Linked DNA regions of Tribolium castaneum. The protein of the gene in region 2 binds, or shares a complex with, the protein of the main gene of each other region. Links are inferred from orthologs where the notes say so. Each region holds a gene or a part of one and is shown on either strand. Other genes may lie near its edges.

The links. Proteins that work in one complex are often made in the same cells at the same time.
Region 1: Taf4 (region 2) and transcription initiation factor TFIID subunit 8 share a complex: the UniProt entries of both Homo sapiens proteins name them as parts of the TFIID basal transcription factor complex. The link is inferred for Tribolium castaneum from reciprocal best matches to the Homo sapiens genes TAF4 and TAF8.

Annotation. Positions count from the first base shown.
Region 1 is NC_087396.1:13,180,048-13,183,460, reverse strand, and holds transcription initiation factor TFIID subunit 8, read right to left. Parts: upstream 1,872-3,413; 5' UTR 1,777-1,871; coding exon 1,638-1,776; intron 1,590-1,637; coding exon 1,303-1,589; intron 1,253-1,302; coding exon 1,102-1,252; intron 968-1,101; coding exon 681-967; 3' UTR 653-680; downstream 1-652. Other genes in the region: angiotensin-converting enzyme, read left to right, coding at 20-303, 352-652; tou (bromodomain adjacent to zinc finger domain protein 2B), read right to left, coding at 2,668-2,824, 2,879-3,187, 3,237-3,413. UniProt on the Homo sapiens protein: The TFIID basal transcription factor complex plays a major role in the initiation of RNA polymerase II (Pol II)-dependent transcription.
Region 2 is NC_087394.1:35,639,771-35,644,191, forward strand, and holds the start of Taf4 (transcription initiation factor TFIID subunit 4), read right to left. Parts: upstream 2,872-4,421; 5' UTR 2,221-2,871; coding exon 1,621-2,220; intron 1-1,620. Other genes in the region: wcd (U3 small nucleolar RNA-associated protein 18 homolog), read right to left, coding at 3,655-4,421. UniProt on the Homo sapiens protein: The TFIID basal transcription factor complex plays a major role in the initiation of RNA polymerase II (Pol II)-dependent transcription.

The sequences.
Region 1 (3,413 bases), on a different chromosome or scaffold from region 2:
AAAAAAATAATTGTTCCAGTGGCGTTATGAAATTTTTCAAAACGGGGTGCAAAACATGAACGCAGTTTGGTGGGAATTGCGCCTGCGCTACCAGGGATTAATCCCCCCAATCCCTCGCACTGAAAACCACTTCGACGCCGCTGCAAAACGCCACATTCCCGCCGATATTCCGTACATGAAATATTACGTCGCGCTTTTGCTCGAATTCCAAATTCACAGCTCGATGTGTTTTGCTTCAGGGCATGTGGGGCCGTTGCATAATTGCGATATTTACCGGTCGAGGGAAGCCGGACGCGTTTTATCGTAATGACTGTTCAATACTTGTAATAAAAATTAATTAGATATTTTTAGGGACTTGCTAAAAGTCGGGAAGGCCAGACATTGGAAAGAAGTGATAAAAATGTTAACTAGAGGACAGTCGGATCGCCTGTCTGCTGAAGCAATGCTTCAGTACTTCCAGCCCTTGATGTTGTGGCTCAAAGTACAAAATCGGAATGAAAGTGTGGTCGGATGGATGACAAGTTTGGAAGAGGAGGCTTTGTTCCAGCCATTCTTGTTTGCAACAAGCAACAAAATTGTGTTTGATTCAAATCTTGTTATATTCATTTCTATAACTCCGATTCTTATAAATAACTACATGTTGTATAAATAAAAAATTTAAACTTATAATTTAGTCTTACTTATGACACCTCCATTTCGTCCTTTTTAGGCAGCTTCGTTGCGGCCAAATACGGATTATCAATGTACCCATTTGGGTTTGTGTTTTCTTCACTTTTTGTGGAATCATTTAGTGTTTCTTCAGTCTCTTCTTCTTCTTTATTTTCAGCTTTTTCTTTCGCTTTTTGTTCTTTTGATTGTTGCATCATTTGACTTTTGTGGTCATATTCGAGGTCTTCAGGATCAAAAATTTGATCCTGGGGCAGGAGAGCGCTCAAGTAAGGGGGGTACGCAGGCTTACAAGCTATCACTAAAATATTTCAATTGCTATAGTGGGTATAAAACAAAAACGTAGTCAAGAGTGCTCTGCAACCAATTTTTTCCAGAGCACTATTGACCACCACTCACGAAATAAAAATTCCAAATAAAAAACGGACCACTTACGTGGAAAAATATTCGCCTCATCTGTGTCAAACAAATTATGTGTGGGGTTAGTCTTGGCAAGAAACTTCGTTAACGCCTTTTCTATGTCTTTTTTCTGAACTGCCGCTTTTTCTCTCACTGATTCGTAATCAATAATTGGTTGTTTGTGTGTCTGTAATAGAACAATAAAATATTTGACGCGCCCCAACAGCACAAACCTACAGGAGTGCGAACGTAGGCGTGGGGGTCCGGAAACTGGGGTAAATGCTGAGGGATGTAAGGGGGTAAAGGGTGCTTCGAGCCAGCTGGTAACATATTTAGCTGCTTCTGGGGCTGCTGTGGTTGTAGTGGGGGTAAAACCGAATGCTTCATGCCTTTTGTGTACACCATCAAGTCGTTGAAATTGTGCCCCATTTCCACAAATGCTAAAATCACGTCGGCCACCACGGGCTCCGAACGGCCCGACAACTCGCAGTAGCTTTTCGAAAGTGCCCCCACTTCGGTTAGGACTGCAAGAAAGTGTGCTTATTTCGCGAAAAAAGGGTTGAGGGGCTTACAGCACTGGATCATTTCTGTTAAAGTACCGAGGCTTTCTTTGTCGGCCGTATCGAAACCAGACTCCATTAGAATGCTGCAGACTGACGCTGCTAACATTTTTCGGTAAACGTTTACTTGCTGGGTGGTGGTTTGTTCCATTTTTTAAAGTTTAAAGCAAAGTTTGTTGTTATTTACGTTCCGAAAAGTTAAGGTTATAATAACGTTTGACAAATGACAAGCTTGTGTTTCTGACCGAATCACCAAAGAGCCGAAATTTAAACATCCATACGCGGGAATTCCAAAAATTTCCAACGTGTGGTTGGAAAACAGGGTAGTAGCGGTTGGAGAGAAATGAAAAAAGGCGACATTTATAAGTAAATATAATTAATATAAATATCTTACATTAAAATACATAACCTAGTTCTATGAGTTGCAGTTTAGCGCTGCAGAGAACTAGCCTACCAAACACATTATTTATTAATACATCCTTTCCTTTGAGAACTATGTTCAGCTTACATAAAAACATTTTGTAATAGGCTAGAGAGACATTTAATTTAATGTTGAGCGATGCAATTATGTGAAGAAATTTCTTTACATTTTATACAAACTCTTACTCTAATTTATTCACTGTAACTGAACCAGACTTCAAGTCGGGAAACTGAAATTGAGTTAGAAAAATAAATAAATAGAAACCACTGAACATTTAATGAACAAAATAGTTATCCTAAATAAATAATTAAATAAAAAAATACACAATTATCAAAAATACAAATTAATACAAATTGAGAAACCAACTAAAAATCACATTCTTGTTTAAGTCAATTCATTAAGTGATGCGCAAATCCAAGACTTTAATTGCATTCAAATAATTACAATTTCCGAACGATAAAAAGCTGAAGTATACATTTTTAAAGTCAATATCACACACTGGAAATACCTGTACTGTTTTTCTGAAAAAATTAGTTTGTATTCACACCTCATCGCAATTTAAACACTGTTTTCCGGGGGCCGCATTCTTCGATGGTAAGGTCTTTTGGGATAAAGTAGTCCTCAACTATTTGAAATACTCAGCTCGTTCCACCGAGCTTCGAAAAACTGGCGCATGCAGTGGCCTGCCTTTCCCACAGGACTGTCGTCCTCGTTGAACACTTCGCAGTTGTTGAAAATCTGTCTCACGTCCAGAACGAACTCCTCTTTGGATTTATAACTAGAAAAACGCCCAAATAACTCACACCATCAATTTTCAAGTCAAAACACCAACCTCACATCGTACAGTTTCTTCTTGATCGTCGACAAATCCATCGGCGTTTTGATGATTTTTTTGTAAGTGGGAAACTGCTTCGTATTCACCGGAAGCAAAAAGGGCCACGCGTCATCATGGCACTCCAAATCCTCCAGAATCGTCTTGCACGGCGCGAGTTCTTTGAGTAGTTTCTTCGAGATGCGGTCCTTCTTGCACGTTTGCGTGGACGGAGAGCCTGCGTTGCCGAGACTCGAGTTAGAGACGTCGCTTTGGTTGCAATTCGTTGCTTCTTCGTTCGTCGTAACGGAACTATGAGACGGTGCGGGACTGGAGACGCGACATGTTAATAAATAAAAAACGAAAAATTGAGAGGTACCTAGAAGGAGGATGGTCGGACAGTTCGCTATCTTTGCTAGACTTTGCGTGGTTTTTACGCATCGTCTTCTTCTGAGGCTTTTTCGATATGCATTTGGAACAGTACCATTTGCCGCGAGGAACTTTGTGCATGATGGGGTGAATGCAGTCGGTGTGGTAGGCGCGAGGACACAGTTCG
Region 2 (4,421 bases):
TATAAAATTTACTCAACAAAACTAGAAGAGATTCGGCATTTTCGTTGTACAGCTTCGTGTACGTGTTTCGAGTGAACAATCTGTGTAAGGTGGTTGGTTGTTGTTTTGTGAAGCTGTACAATGGAAATAGCCTCAAACATGAAATTTTGCAGTAGAATGGGGGGGTTTGTGGGGTCCGAAAGCGTTAGTCCTAGCTTGGATGAAAATTAATCCCAATACTGACATGACATCCTGATTCTGCGACTTTTATTTCCAAATAAGGAACGAATTATTTTCAAAATAATTCGTTCCTTATGAATGAAATAAAACATTTTTAATAAACAAATCAGTAACCATTCACTCATTAATTCAACGTCACTTTCTTTCGCATAGATAGCAATTTGCATTAAACACGCTGCCATCGTTTTTTATAACATTTTAAAAAAAATAAGAATTAAATAAAAAAAAATTACACGAGCATGAAAATTACATAACATAACGTGTATTTAATCACAAAGTAGGGATATCAACACCTTTCCCTATATGTGTGATGCTGTTTATGTCCCTGTGGAGAGATAATTATTATGAAATTTTCTAATTTTATAATCGTTCCACTTTTCAATAATTACTCCAACTCTTATTATTGCATCTTATATTTTATTTTAGGATGTTTGATAATTACTATCCGTTTACAATTCTGGAGTTAAAAATTCACTTGCGTGTACAAAATAGTGTTTCTAAGAAAAAAAGTCTTCTAATTGTTATCAAACAAAATATTGGTACATGAGGGTCACTGGAATGAATCCTCTGTTAAAATCTAAATTGCAACAAATAATTTCAGTTTTAACAAGGTCATCATTTTGTCTCATTTTTACATTAGTTTTGTTCAAAATTTCAATTGGGAGTGCATAATTTTTGAATAATTTTGTACAAAAAAATCTATGTTTACTGTATGAAAGACGCTAAATTCGCCATTAATGGTAATGTCACTATAACTGAGAAGAAATGTGTAAAAGTTTAGCCAACATTAAATACTTTTTATTACCTATTGAAACAGCATGTCTTTATGACTACACAGGGTGAAAGTACGAAAGAATTTCTTACTTTGCTGTAGCTGTCAAATCTACATCGCTTAAAAGAGTCTTGAGTTAAGTAAGAGCAAGTTACAATTTTGCAGGAACGTATTTAATTTTTTTTTTAAATCTAAAGTCATTTTTTTAACAATTCCTTAAATTGTATTCATTGCTAAGTAAAATTTTAAAAAACAGTGTCATTAATTCGGGGCCCTTACGTTGGTTTCCTGGGGGAAACTGGGCTTTATTTTCAAGAATCCAATACTGTACTGTTTTGAGTGTGTCTTAAGTTGTCTACCTACAACACAACGAAATTATTATGGTAGATAGTTTGTAAACTTGTTGGACGTTGTTTGTTTTGATGGTCACATGATAATAAACAGTACACCAAGTACTGGCTTGAAAACATAATTTGTCCTAGAATGAAAATTTGTTTAATTTTTTGTTTTTTTTTTAATGTACGCTCAGTAGATGTCGATAAGGGGTTATAGGTGTTAGCAAGCATCTTAAGACTGGGAGTTAGCAGACCCTCCCATTCGACTGTTGTTTTGAGTGTACACCGACTTACTGGAGCTCCTGGCCGGGCCCCGACAATCTGTGGTGCACTGAGCACGACACGTGCCGGTTGTCCTTTCTGCTGCTGAGCGGGAACGCCAGGCCGTACATTGACAACCTGGAGGTTGGAAAGGATGTTTGGGGACTGTGTACTGGGACTACCTACGTTGTTAGCTGGCGGGACCGAGGTGGTCACGTTCATGGGCACGGTGACGAGTCCGGGGGCCGAGGCGCCGCACGTCTTGATGACCAGCGTGGGCTGCTTGCCGGGGGCGGCCTGGGGCAGCGTCCCATTGGGCGGCAGCGCGACCCTCGCGTTGGGCAGCAGCGTCCCGGCGCCCGCCATGGCCTGCGAGTAGACGATCTTGACGGGGGCGGCGTCGGCCGACTTGGCGTCCGAGATGGAGTCGCCGTTGGCCACTGTCGAGTGCTTGGGGGGCCCGACGGTGCCGCCGTTGGATATTGCACTGTTCACGTGGTTCTGGGCCGCGGACGCGGGCGCCGTCGTCGACGACGTCACCAGCTGGTTCTCCAACGAGCCCACGATTGCACTCACGGCCGATTCGTCCACATCCGTACTCAGTGCTTCCTCGAGAAACTTAGCTGACGCCATTTTCCGAGACCCAACTGTAAACTGATGTGCGCATGCGCCCTACATAAACATGATCACGCCAACGGCTGCGCCGTCGACTCTTCACGCCACAAATGCAGAAAGGCATATGAAACAAAAGTCCGAATCGACGCACTTTTAACCACTTTACATGGCCCTCATCTTCGGCTGCTCCGAGTTGTTGCACGGTTTCGTCGGGGGCGGATTTCACGGCGACATCAGACACAGCTTTTCAGTTTCGTTTACATCGCGGAGTCGATCGCACTCTCGACGTTTTGCTAAGTCATCTGACACGTCATCCCGACCCGCCAAATTTGAATTTTCGCATTGCATTTCACATTTCCAAATCCACAAATTTACATTTCTTTAGAAAGTTTCTGCGCCAATTTACATTTAACAAGATGACATTTTGCGACGACCGCTGATAGCCCCGATTCCTTCCACGCAGCTCGCAGCTTACGTATTACGTCATGGGGACAACACTCATTTCTCATCTTAAATTCTCATTTTACCTCGAATTCTGGCACGAGGCACAACGCAACTTTCTTTACTTCATAGCTCATTTGCTGTTTTTTGTTGCTTGAGCAATATTTCTTAAGAGATTGTTTATTGCTAAATCTCATGACCTACAACAACCTTGCAACACCATACTGCTGTTTTATCATCACAAAACAAAACACTCTGGTCAGATTCCCGCTGTTTTTTTCAAATTTTGAACAAAATTACCAATAAAAAACTTATATTAATAATATAAGTATATTTTCTTATACGATAGGTATGGCCTATTTAATATTAAGAACAGATTTATTGATAAAAAATAGGTATTCGATTTATAAACACGTTCTACTCCTACTATAATTTCCATTTTGTTTGGTACTTTTTTTTTATCATCTCCCTTATCCTCCTTTTGCATCAAATCTTTTTAATTATAGGTGGTATTTAGAACTGTAACGCAAATTTTTAATAAAAATCTAGCACTTCTAGATAACAGCAGGTAATAGTACCCCTATCAATTTGATTTCAGGAGGCTTGTGTGGTTGATAATGTGTAGGCAAGGGGTTATTTAATCGATTCCGGTGTAAACTATAATGGCCTGCAATCAATAAATTAAACGTAGGTACAATTGAGTACAAAGCGGTTCATTCGGCAACTGTTGGAAGAAAAAAAAATTCACATATTACAAATAAAACAATAAAATTCTTAGGACTTAAACGATTTTATTTACAGGTACTAAAACATGACATCGGTAGTAAAAAATAAAAAAGCATACAGAACGTAAAAATTGATCAAAATTAACCACTTGAGGAGAGATGCCACTCTTCGGTATTAAAACTGACACATTATTTTAGCAATAGCCCTGTTATAATTTATAAAGCTTGCATAAATGTTACAACAGGTGGAACAGGTCATTTACCGTATCTAACATGTGTTGTTTGATTAATAACTTTTGTAGTGCTTCAAGGTATACAAAGAAACGGTCGATTTCCTATTCCCAAAGGCAACATATCCACTATTTGGCGAGAAATTGATCGCATTTACGTGTCCCAACTTGGTCTCGAACGTCGGGAAGTTGCTAAAAACAGTCCCAGACCCGACATGGAGCAATTTGACGGAATTCGGTATTTCGGCAGACGACAATGCCAAAATCTCCGATGTAGCGTTGAATTTCAAGTCGGTCACGCTCGTAGTCAAATTCATAATGGTCTTTATAGGTTTAGGTACTTTATTAATTAAAATATCCCCCACGTCGTACAAATTAACAACTCCTTGTGCAGAACCAGCCGCCAGAAATTGATTAGTGGGCGAAACCGCCAAAGTGGTGCCTTGCAGACAGCCCTCGTCCATAAACTTGTGCAAGACCCGTCTCATGCTCACGTCCCACACAGTGACTTCGCCACAGTCACTGTGCCCATAGAGAAGATTACCTTGGGGGCCGTAGGCCAGAGCCGTAACTTCATGGTTTTGCTTTATTGTTGCGACTCGTTCCTTTGAGGCTGCGCTAAGCAAGTGGATTTCGCCCCACTTGCCTGCAGCTGCGATTATGTCAAAATCGGGGAAAGTGATGAATTTTTTGAAGCTGGTCATGCCAGGGGGTAACGGGATTCTGGTGGTTTTGGCCGCCATTAGGTCGTAACTGAAGATGTGGTTCTGCCGTGACCCCAAAATCACCTCGTTACCGTTGTTGATAAACTTTGCACAAAAAA